Mus musculus: one gene and its partner. The protein of the gene in region 1 purifies or fractionates together with the protein of each later gene. This does not show direct contact. Links are inferred from orthologs where the notes say so. Each region holds a gene or a part of one and is shown in the gene's direction. Other genes may lie near its edges.

Evidence for each region.
Region 2: the proteins of Ftsj1 (region 1) and Wdr6 purify together in Homo sapiens (affinity purification with mass spectrometry; 3 studies listed by BioGRID and IntAct, with this or other methods). This does not show direct contact. The link is inferred for Mus musculus from reciprocal best matches to the Homo sapiens genes FTSJ1 and WDR6.

Annotation. Positions count from the first base shown.
Region 1 is NC_000086.7:8,242,403-8,246,210, reverse strand, and holds part of Ftsj1 (putative tRNA (cytidine(32)/guanosine(34)-2'-O)-methyltransferase), read left to right. Parts: intron 1-555; coding exon of another isoform or gene 556-561; coding exon 562-659; intron 660-738; coding exon 739-927; intron 928-1,109; coding exon 1,110-1,136; 3' UTR 1,137-1,151; intron 1,152-3,808. UniProt on the Homo sapiens protein: Methylates the 2'-O-ribose of nucleotides at positions 32 and 34 of the tRNA anticodon loop of substrate tRNAs. Requisite for faithful cytoplasmic translation.
Region 2 is NC_000075.6:108,575,610-108,579,926, reverse strand, and holds the start of Wdr6 (WD repeat-containing protein 6), read left to right. Parts: upstream 1-1,213; 5' UTR 1,214-1,333; coding exon 1,334-1,433; intron 1,434-3,344; coding exon 3,345-4,317. Other genes in the region: P4htm (transmembrane prolyl 4-hydroxylase), read left to right, coding at 88-211, 619-839. UniProt on the Homo sapiens protein: Together with methyltransferase FTSJ1, methylates the 2'-O-ribose of nucleotides at position 34 of the tRNA anticodon loop of substrate tRNAs. Required for the correct positioning of the substrate tRNA for methylation.

The DNA of each region.
Region 1 (3,808 bases):
CACCAAAGGAAGTCAGAACTGGAACTCAAGCAGGTCAGGGAGCAGGAGCTGATGCAGAGGCCATGGAGGGATGTTCTTTACTGGCTTGCTTCACCTTGTGTCTGTTGAGAGCCCTCTGCCTCACACTCCGATGGCAGTTGTACCCCCTTAGGGATATTTCAGATAGTCTTCCAATGGTAGCCTTGGTCCTGGTAGAAATTCTGTTGCAGCAAACTAAGCATTCACCCAGGGAAGATCCTAAGTGTCTACCTTAGGGAACCCCTCAGGTAGAAAGCTCACCTGTATTAAACATGTCCCCTGTGGAAGTCTGTAGCCTCTAACCTGATAGGCAAAGGTGGAACCTGTCTCTGTAGATCCTATTTGCATGAGACAAGGTAGAATGTACTGGTAAAACGCTGAGCGGGCATGGTACAGTGAAAAAGCCAGGCCACAGGCTGACATTTTAGCAACAGTGATCAGAAGGGAATGTGCACCAGAGGGAAAAAGGACCATGATGGTGGGGAGGGGGACTTCAGTGCTGGTGTAGACTGTATCTTCACTCTGCCTCTTTCTAAGATACAGATTTCAACCAGTTGGATGGTCCCACCCGTGTTATTGTGCCCTTTGTGGCCTGTGGGGACCTCAGCGCCTACGATTCGGACCGCACTTACTCTCTGGATGTGAGTGTCCAGCCAGCGGGGCAGGGGGCAGGAGATTGTCTTGGACTGGCAGATCCTCATCATCTCTTGTGTCCTACAGCTAGACGGTGGCTCTGAGTACAAATATACTCCACCCACACAGCCCCCCATCGCACCCCCATACCAAGAGGCCTGCAGGTTGAAGAAGAATGGACAGCTGGCCAAGGAACTCCTCCCCCAAGAATGCTCCATCAACAGTGTGGACAAGTTGCCCCAGCCTCTGGCTATCCATACCCTGCTAGACCCCAAGGTATGGATATGTACCTCTGAGCCCACCATGACATCTCCCCAGTGTGCCCGTTTCTGTCCTGACTGACTCCCTCTCCTGGTCCTTTCCTGCCTTGCAATCTCTTTAAGAATCCCTAGCTCAGCCCACTGACAAATGGAAAAATGTAGCCAAATAGCTGAGTTCCTTTTCTCTTTCTTTGGCAGGTGGAAGACAATGAAATTCATTGTTGACCTTAACACATTAAGGTAAATTTGCTTTTTTCCCCTTCTAAAGTTCAAGTAAAGGGTACCTTTAAGAACAATCTGAATAGGGACTGCAGGCTGGCTCTCTAGTTAAGAGCAAGGATTGCCCTTGCAGAAGATCTGAGTTTGGTTTCCAGCAACCACGTGTGGGAGCTCACAACTGCCTATGACTTCCACAGGAGCAGACATCTCTGGCCTCTCAGGATACCTACATTCACAAGCACACACCCAGGACACACATACACACACACACAACACACAATTAAAAATAATAAAAATAGTTTGGTCATGGTGTCACTCACTTTTAATCCCAGCACTTGGAGGGGTGGGGTGCAAGCAAGTCTCTACAAGTTTGAGGTTAGCCTGGTCTGAATAGTTCCAGGCCAGCCAGTGCTACATAATGAGACCCTGTCTGTTAAAAAGGAAAGAAGGAAGGAAGAAAGGAAAGGAAAGGAAAGGAAAGGAAAGGAAAGGAGAGGAAAGGAGAGGAAAGGAGAGGAAAGGAGAGGAAAGGAGAAAGGAAAGGAAAGGAAAGGAAAGGAAAGGAAAGGAAAGGAAAGGAAAGGAAAGGAGAAAGGAGAAAGGAAAAAAGAAGAGAAAAGAAATCCCTCAGTGGGTTGAAAATATAACTCAGTTTGTAGAGTGCTTACCTAAAATGCATAAAACCCAGGTTCAATCTCTAGCTACCACATAAAAGTCGAGGCAGAGTAATCTTAGCACCCAGCAGATACAATAGAAGCAGCAGAGTTTCTAGAGCATCCTCAGATCCTTAGCAGGTTTGAAGCCAGCATGAGCTACACGAAAACCTGTCTCAAAAAGTAAAAGACCTCAGTACAGTTTTACGGGGGTTTTTTTTTGAAACAGGGTTTGTCTAACACTAGCTCTGTAAAGCAGGCTGGCCTCAAACTTATCAGAGATCCACCTGTCTCTGCCTCGAGTTCTGGAGTGAAAGGCAAACACTGCCACCACCCAGGGACTTTAAAAAATAAAGTTTATTTATTAGGTATACACTCATACACATACAATTTTTTTAAAATCTTTAAAGGGTTAAAAGGTTCCATCTTCAATGCTGCCAAGAAAATAAAACAGATAAATTAAGAGCTGGGGATGTAGCTTAGTTAGTAAAATGCTTGTCTGGAACAGACAGAGCTCGGAGCCCCAGTACCATGTAGCCCATGCCAGTAATCCTGTGGTAGGAAGTTGTCTTAGTTACTTTTTCATTGCCGTGATAAGACACCATGACCGAGGCAATTTATAGAAGAGAACCTTCATTGGGGATTTACAGTTTCAGAGGCAGAGCCCATGATCACCGTAGCAGGGAGCATGGCAGTAGGCTGGCATGGCTCTGGTGTAATTGTAATTAGTAATTGTGAGATATAAACCACGGGGCAGACACAAACGGGGGTGGGGGGGGAGATTACTGGTAATAACCTGGGCCTTTGAGTCCTTAAAATTTGTCCCCAGTGACAACGCCTCTTCCAACAAGACTGTAACTCTTAATCTCTCCCAAAACACTTCTACCAACTGGGCACCAAGCATTGAAATATATGAGCCTCTGGGGACCATTCTCATTTAAACCACCACAGACATTCAGAAATACAAGGTCATCCACAACTCTATACCAAGTTGTATGTCCAAGAGGACAGCCTGGGCTCCATGAGACCCTATCTTCAATAAAAACAAAGTTGGAGCTATGGAGGTGGCCAAAAGATGGTAGCAGGTCCCCTGGAACTGGAGTTACAGGTAGTTGTGAGCCACCATGTAGATTCTGAGAATCAAACCCAAGACCTCAGGAAGAATAGGCAGTGCTCTTAACCACTGAGCCATTTTTCCAGCTCCTGGCCCCCACTGCTAAGTTGGTTTTGGTTTTGTTTGTTTGTTTGTTTGTTTTTTCTCAGTAAATGAATGTGCAGAGAGCGTCTGAAGAACTTGAAGCATTTCGCTACTACCTGTTGAGGGGGTTGATAAATATTTACTGAATGAATATTTTGCAGGCACTCTGGGTTTAGAGAACCAGCAGGAGACAAAGAGCCGGGATTTATACGTTGTAATTTGTATTTGCCTGTGTGTACAGTGTGCTACAGAAACAATGGTCTCCTAAGATACCGGCTTATTTTTATACAATAACAAAAACACCCAAGGTGTATTTCCCACAGAGACGCCCTGTCACTGAAATGCATGGCTGCACATGTAAAAGGAATACTGGCTATGGAAGGCAGGAAAAGTAGAACAAAATGGAGGAAGTCAGAGAATGCAGACAGGAGTTTAGAATTTTGAAAGTCTTTTTCTAGCCAGGCAGGTGGGAGGCAGGGGCACCAGGATTGCTATTTCAAGGCCAGCCTAGTCTACATGCAAGTTGACAGCCAGGGCTATGTAGAGATCCTGTGAGAAAAGGAAATAAAAAATAAAAGCATGTTTTCTTTTTTTTTTGTTTTTTCGAGACACGGTTTCTCTGTATAGCCCTGGCTGTCCTGGACCTCACTTTGTAGACCAGGCTGGCCTCGAACTCAGAAATCCGCCTGTCTCTGCCTCCCAAGTGCTGGGATTAAAGGCGTGTGCCACCACTGCCCAGCAAGCATGTTTTCTAAAAGACCTTTCTGAGGTAAAGAAACCATGGAGGGGATTGAGGTGTGGGGACTTGTGGGTTTATCTAGGGGAAG
Region 2 (4,317 bases), on another chromosome or scaffold:
TCTGCCTGTTTTCCCTCCAGCCAACCTTGGCTGCCTGGTCCTGCAATGGCAGGCAGTCCACAAACAGCCTCACCTTGTTGCCTACAGAGTCTGATTCAGGATGATGTCGATCTCCGGGACACTCGAAGGCACTGTGACAAGGGCAACCTTCGTGTCAAGCCCCAGCAAGGAACTGCAGTCTTTTGGTACAACTACCTTCCTGATGGGCAAGGTGAGGGCTTTACTCATGGCCAGGTCTTGGGCTTCTCTGAGGGAACTCATCTCTCCCTCCTGCTCTCCTGGAGGACTGTTCCTGTCTTCCATAGCCAGGGATTTCAAAGCACAGTAGCACTAGTACAGTATCTTCGGTTATCTCCGCCCACCGTCCTTGCGCACCAGCCTTCCTGCTGTCTGGGGCAGGGAAACTTCTCTCCACAACCCAGGCTGGGAAGAGCTATAGCCAAGCTCAGAAGCAAGGAAGCTTGGTTAATTTTAAGGGCCAGTATGTTGACCATGCCTTAGTGGGTGAGACGCCAAGTCCTTCCATGGGGATTAGATGTGTGCACAGCTCAGGCTGAGCCAATCTAGGGTTTTCCCCTCCCTAACTTGTCCTTTGTTCATGTCACCTTCTTACCCCAGGCTGGGTGGGTGAAGTGGACGACTACTCGTTGCATGGGGGCTGCCTGGTCACCCGCGGCACCAAGTGGATCGCTAACAACTGGATCAATGTGGACCCTAGCCGGGCACGGCAAGCCTTGTTCCAGCAGGAGATGGCTCGTCTGGCTCGGGAAGGTGGCATGGACTCACAACCCGAGTGGGCCTTGGACCGAGCCTACAGTGATGCCCGTGTGGAGCTCTGACGCAAGGCCCTGATGCGAATCACCCGCTGCCCAACGTCAAAGACCCTGCAGGTCCTCTGTCCTACTGCAGACTGAAGTTCTGGCCGACCTCTTGCCCTAGCCCTCCCTGCCTGCAGCCGCGATCAAAGGCGCAGTTCCTACATTCACGTTATTTATTGGTGTACAGCCTCCATGCTGCTCCGTTAAATAAAACTACAGGGCTTCCAGCCAGGGGCCGGCGAGCTAAGCGCCCGCTTGGGGGAGGGGAGGCCCACCGCCCCTCCCGGCTAGTCTCATGTGTGTGTGTGTGGGGGGGTGACTCTGATCCGGCCAATCAGGAGCGGGATCGCGTGGGGGACAGGGTCGTCATTGGACGTCCGCAGCCCAGCGCCAGGGCTTTGCTACCTGTAGCTAAGGGCTTCGGAGCTCTGCAGCGCGGCTCTCCAGACGGCTGGTTCTCGCGAGAACGCAGCTCTCTTCTTGTCCGTGGCAGCCACAGCAGCTCCAGGAACGTCATGGACGCTTTCGGGGACTATGTCTGGCCGCGGGCGACTTCCGAGCTCATACTCCTCCCGGTTACGGGTCTGGAGTGTGTTGGGGACAGGCTGCTGGCGGGTGAGGCTTGGTCGGCTCTAGTCGTGCTAGCGGGCGAAGAACTAGCCTCTCCCTGGGTGGTCGCACCGGACAAAGGGATGCCCTGGGGAGGAGGATGGGCAGCGGGCTGGGGACTGGCGAGGGGTGGGAGTGGGGGGAATAAGGCAGGTTCGGAGGTGGCGGGAAACACAGGCCGGCGGAGGAGGGCGGGGCTCGAGAGACAGTGGCAGCTCTTCATAAATTGCAGCCAGCTTGGAAAGGGTGGACAGAGACGCTTGAAGGTGTGGGGGACGCAGTCGTTCCATGTTGGGGGAGGGACGTTGCACCCTCAGGTGAACGCAAATGATCAAAACCCCTGGAGAGGAAGAAAAAAAAAAAAAGGGCAGCCTCAGGGGGTGTGGCGGGAGTGTGGCTTCTGGAGAGGGTTGAAGCTCCGCCCCCAAAGATGAGGGGGCCAAAAAATTGCTTTCTGAGTAGAGCAGTATCCAGAGAGGCTGGGGCTTAGGTTCCTCTGGAGAACCAACTGGGGGGTCTGAGCCAACTGGGTTAGTAATCACATGTCTCAGTGTCTGGTGGTAAAGGTCTGAGATGGCTCTGAGGTGCCAAGTGTCCTGGAAGCAGTAGGGCCTGATGCGAAGCCATCCTTTGGTGATGGTGGTGTTGGGTTTTACAAGGACCCTTGGCACTGACAATTAGGCCTTGGGTCAGCCATTATTAGCCTCAGCAGGGCTGCGTGTTTGTCTTGTGGTGAGGGTATATTCTAGAGTTGATGTGTGTGTGTGCGTGTGCGTGCGTGTGTGTGCAAGTGCAAACATTGGGTTGCTCCAGTGAGCTAAACTCTCTGGAGGTGGGACCGGCAAACTTCAGGAAATGAAATCCGTAGAATTTTGAAGAAAGAGACATTAAGAGAGGAGTAAGGTAATGAGGAATCCTGACGAGTCCGAGGAGGAGGAGATCGTGGGAAACAAACGGCTGCAAGATGACCAAAAGGGAGCTGAGAGTCCCATTCTAGAAAACGTCTGTGGGTTCTATACACATGTATGGGGGTGTAAGAGATTCCCCGGGAAGTATGTGGATTTGTATAGAGGGAGGCCCTGGACAAGCCCCTCTTGAGCACAAGTTAGGAATGTTCCTAACTCAGAAGACGCTAGCTTTGATTCTGCTGTGTTAAATGCTGTCCAGGTTCTTAATACCTGCACCTCATCTCTCCTCCCAAGCCTTGTTGCTTTTAAGTCTCAGTCGCATACAAAGGACGATCTCACAGCTGTCCAGGGGTGGGGCCAGAATGCAAGCCTCACCCCTGCCTGCCAAAGTGTGGGCAGCTTCAGCACGCATGCACACACACAAACACACACACACACACACACACACACACACACACAAAACCACATACCTACCCACCCCATCGCCTCTGTTGAGCCTCAGGGATTAGACTGATGAAGGATGCTGATGGCTAAAGGGTGCAAAGGTCGACACAGCCTTTTCCCTAAGGGAGGGAGAATCTGGAAAATGCATGCAGAGGCAGGTGGAGCTGAGAGTTTGGGCTAGAGCAGAGCAAGGGCTTTCCATCTGAAGTGTAAGGATGGTGTGCACCAGAGGAAATCCTAGTGACTGTCATTAAGGGTGATGGATAGCCAGGCATGACAGCATACTGCCACAGTCCCAGCAGATTCGAGGTTGAGGCAAGAGGATCTTGAATTCAAGGCCAACCTGGGCTCTCTGAGAGAACCTTACCACAAAAACGAGTGACTGACAGGAGTGTGCCTTTGCAGTTGAGGTCCGGCTGAAGTGGAGGCACGGGTTTGGTAGGATGCTGTGTCCTGGTATATTCTGAGTCTGTATGCTAAGGAGTGGCCTGCTCCACTCATGCGTCCTAGGATCAGGTGCGTGCGTGCGTGTGTGGTGCTGATGTGGCTCTTTACCTCTGTCTAGGCGAGGGGCCTGATTTACTGGTGTACAACTTGGACCTTGGTGGGCATCTCCGAATGGTGAAGAGAGTCCAGAACCTGCTTGGTCACTTTCTCATCCATGGGTTCCGAGTGCGACCAGAGCCTAAAGGAGACCTGGACTCTGAGGCCATGATAGCTGTGTTTGGGAGCAAGGGCCTCAAAGTTGTGAAAGTCAGCTGGGGTCAAAGCCATCTTCGGGAGCTCTGGCGCTCTGGCCTGTGGAACATGTCCGACTGGATCTGGGATGTCCGCTGGATCGAGGGTAACGTAGCCGTGGCCTTGGGCCACAACTCGGTGGTACTGTATGACCCAGTGATAGGGTGCATGCTGCAGGACGTCCCCTGCACAGACAGGTGTACCCTGTCCTCAGCCTGCCTGGTTGGTGACACCTGGAAGGAACTGACCATCGTGGCTGGCGCGGTTTCCAATGAGCTCCTGATCTGGTACCCAGCCACTGCTTTAACAGACAACAAACCCGTGGCCCCTGACCGGCGGGTTAGTGGCCATGTGGGTGTCATCTTTAGCATGTCATACCTGGAAAGCAAGGGCCTGCTGGCAACTGCTTCAGAAGACCGAAGTGTTCGTCTCTGGAAGGTGGGGGACCTCCGGGTGCCTGGGGGTCGGGTTCAGAATATTGGCCACTGCTTTGGGCACAGTGCCCGAGTGTGGCAGGTGAAGCTCTTAGAGAACTATCTCATCAGTGCAGGAGAAGACTGTGTCTGCTTGGTGTGGAGCCACGAAGGCGAGATCCTTCAAGCCTTTCGGGGCCACCGGGGCCGAGGTATCCGGGCCATAGCCACTCACGAGAGGCAGGCCTGGGTGGTCACTGGGGGAGACGACTCAGGCATTCGACTCTGGCACCTGGCAGGCCGAGGGTACCCAGGCTTGGGCGTCTCATCCCTGTCCTTCAAATCTCCTAGCCGGCCAGGTGCCCTCAAGGCTGTGACTCTGGCTGG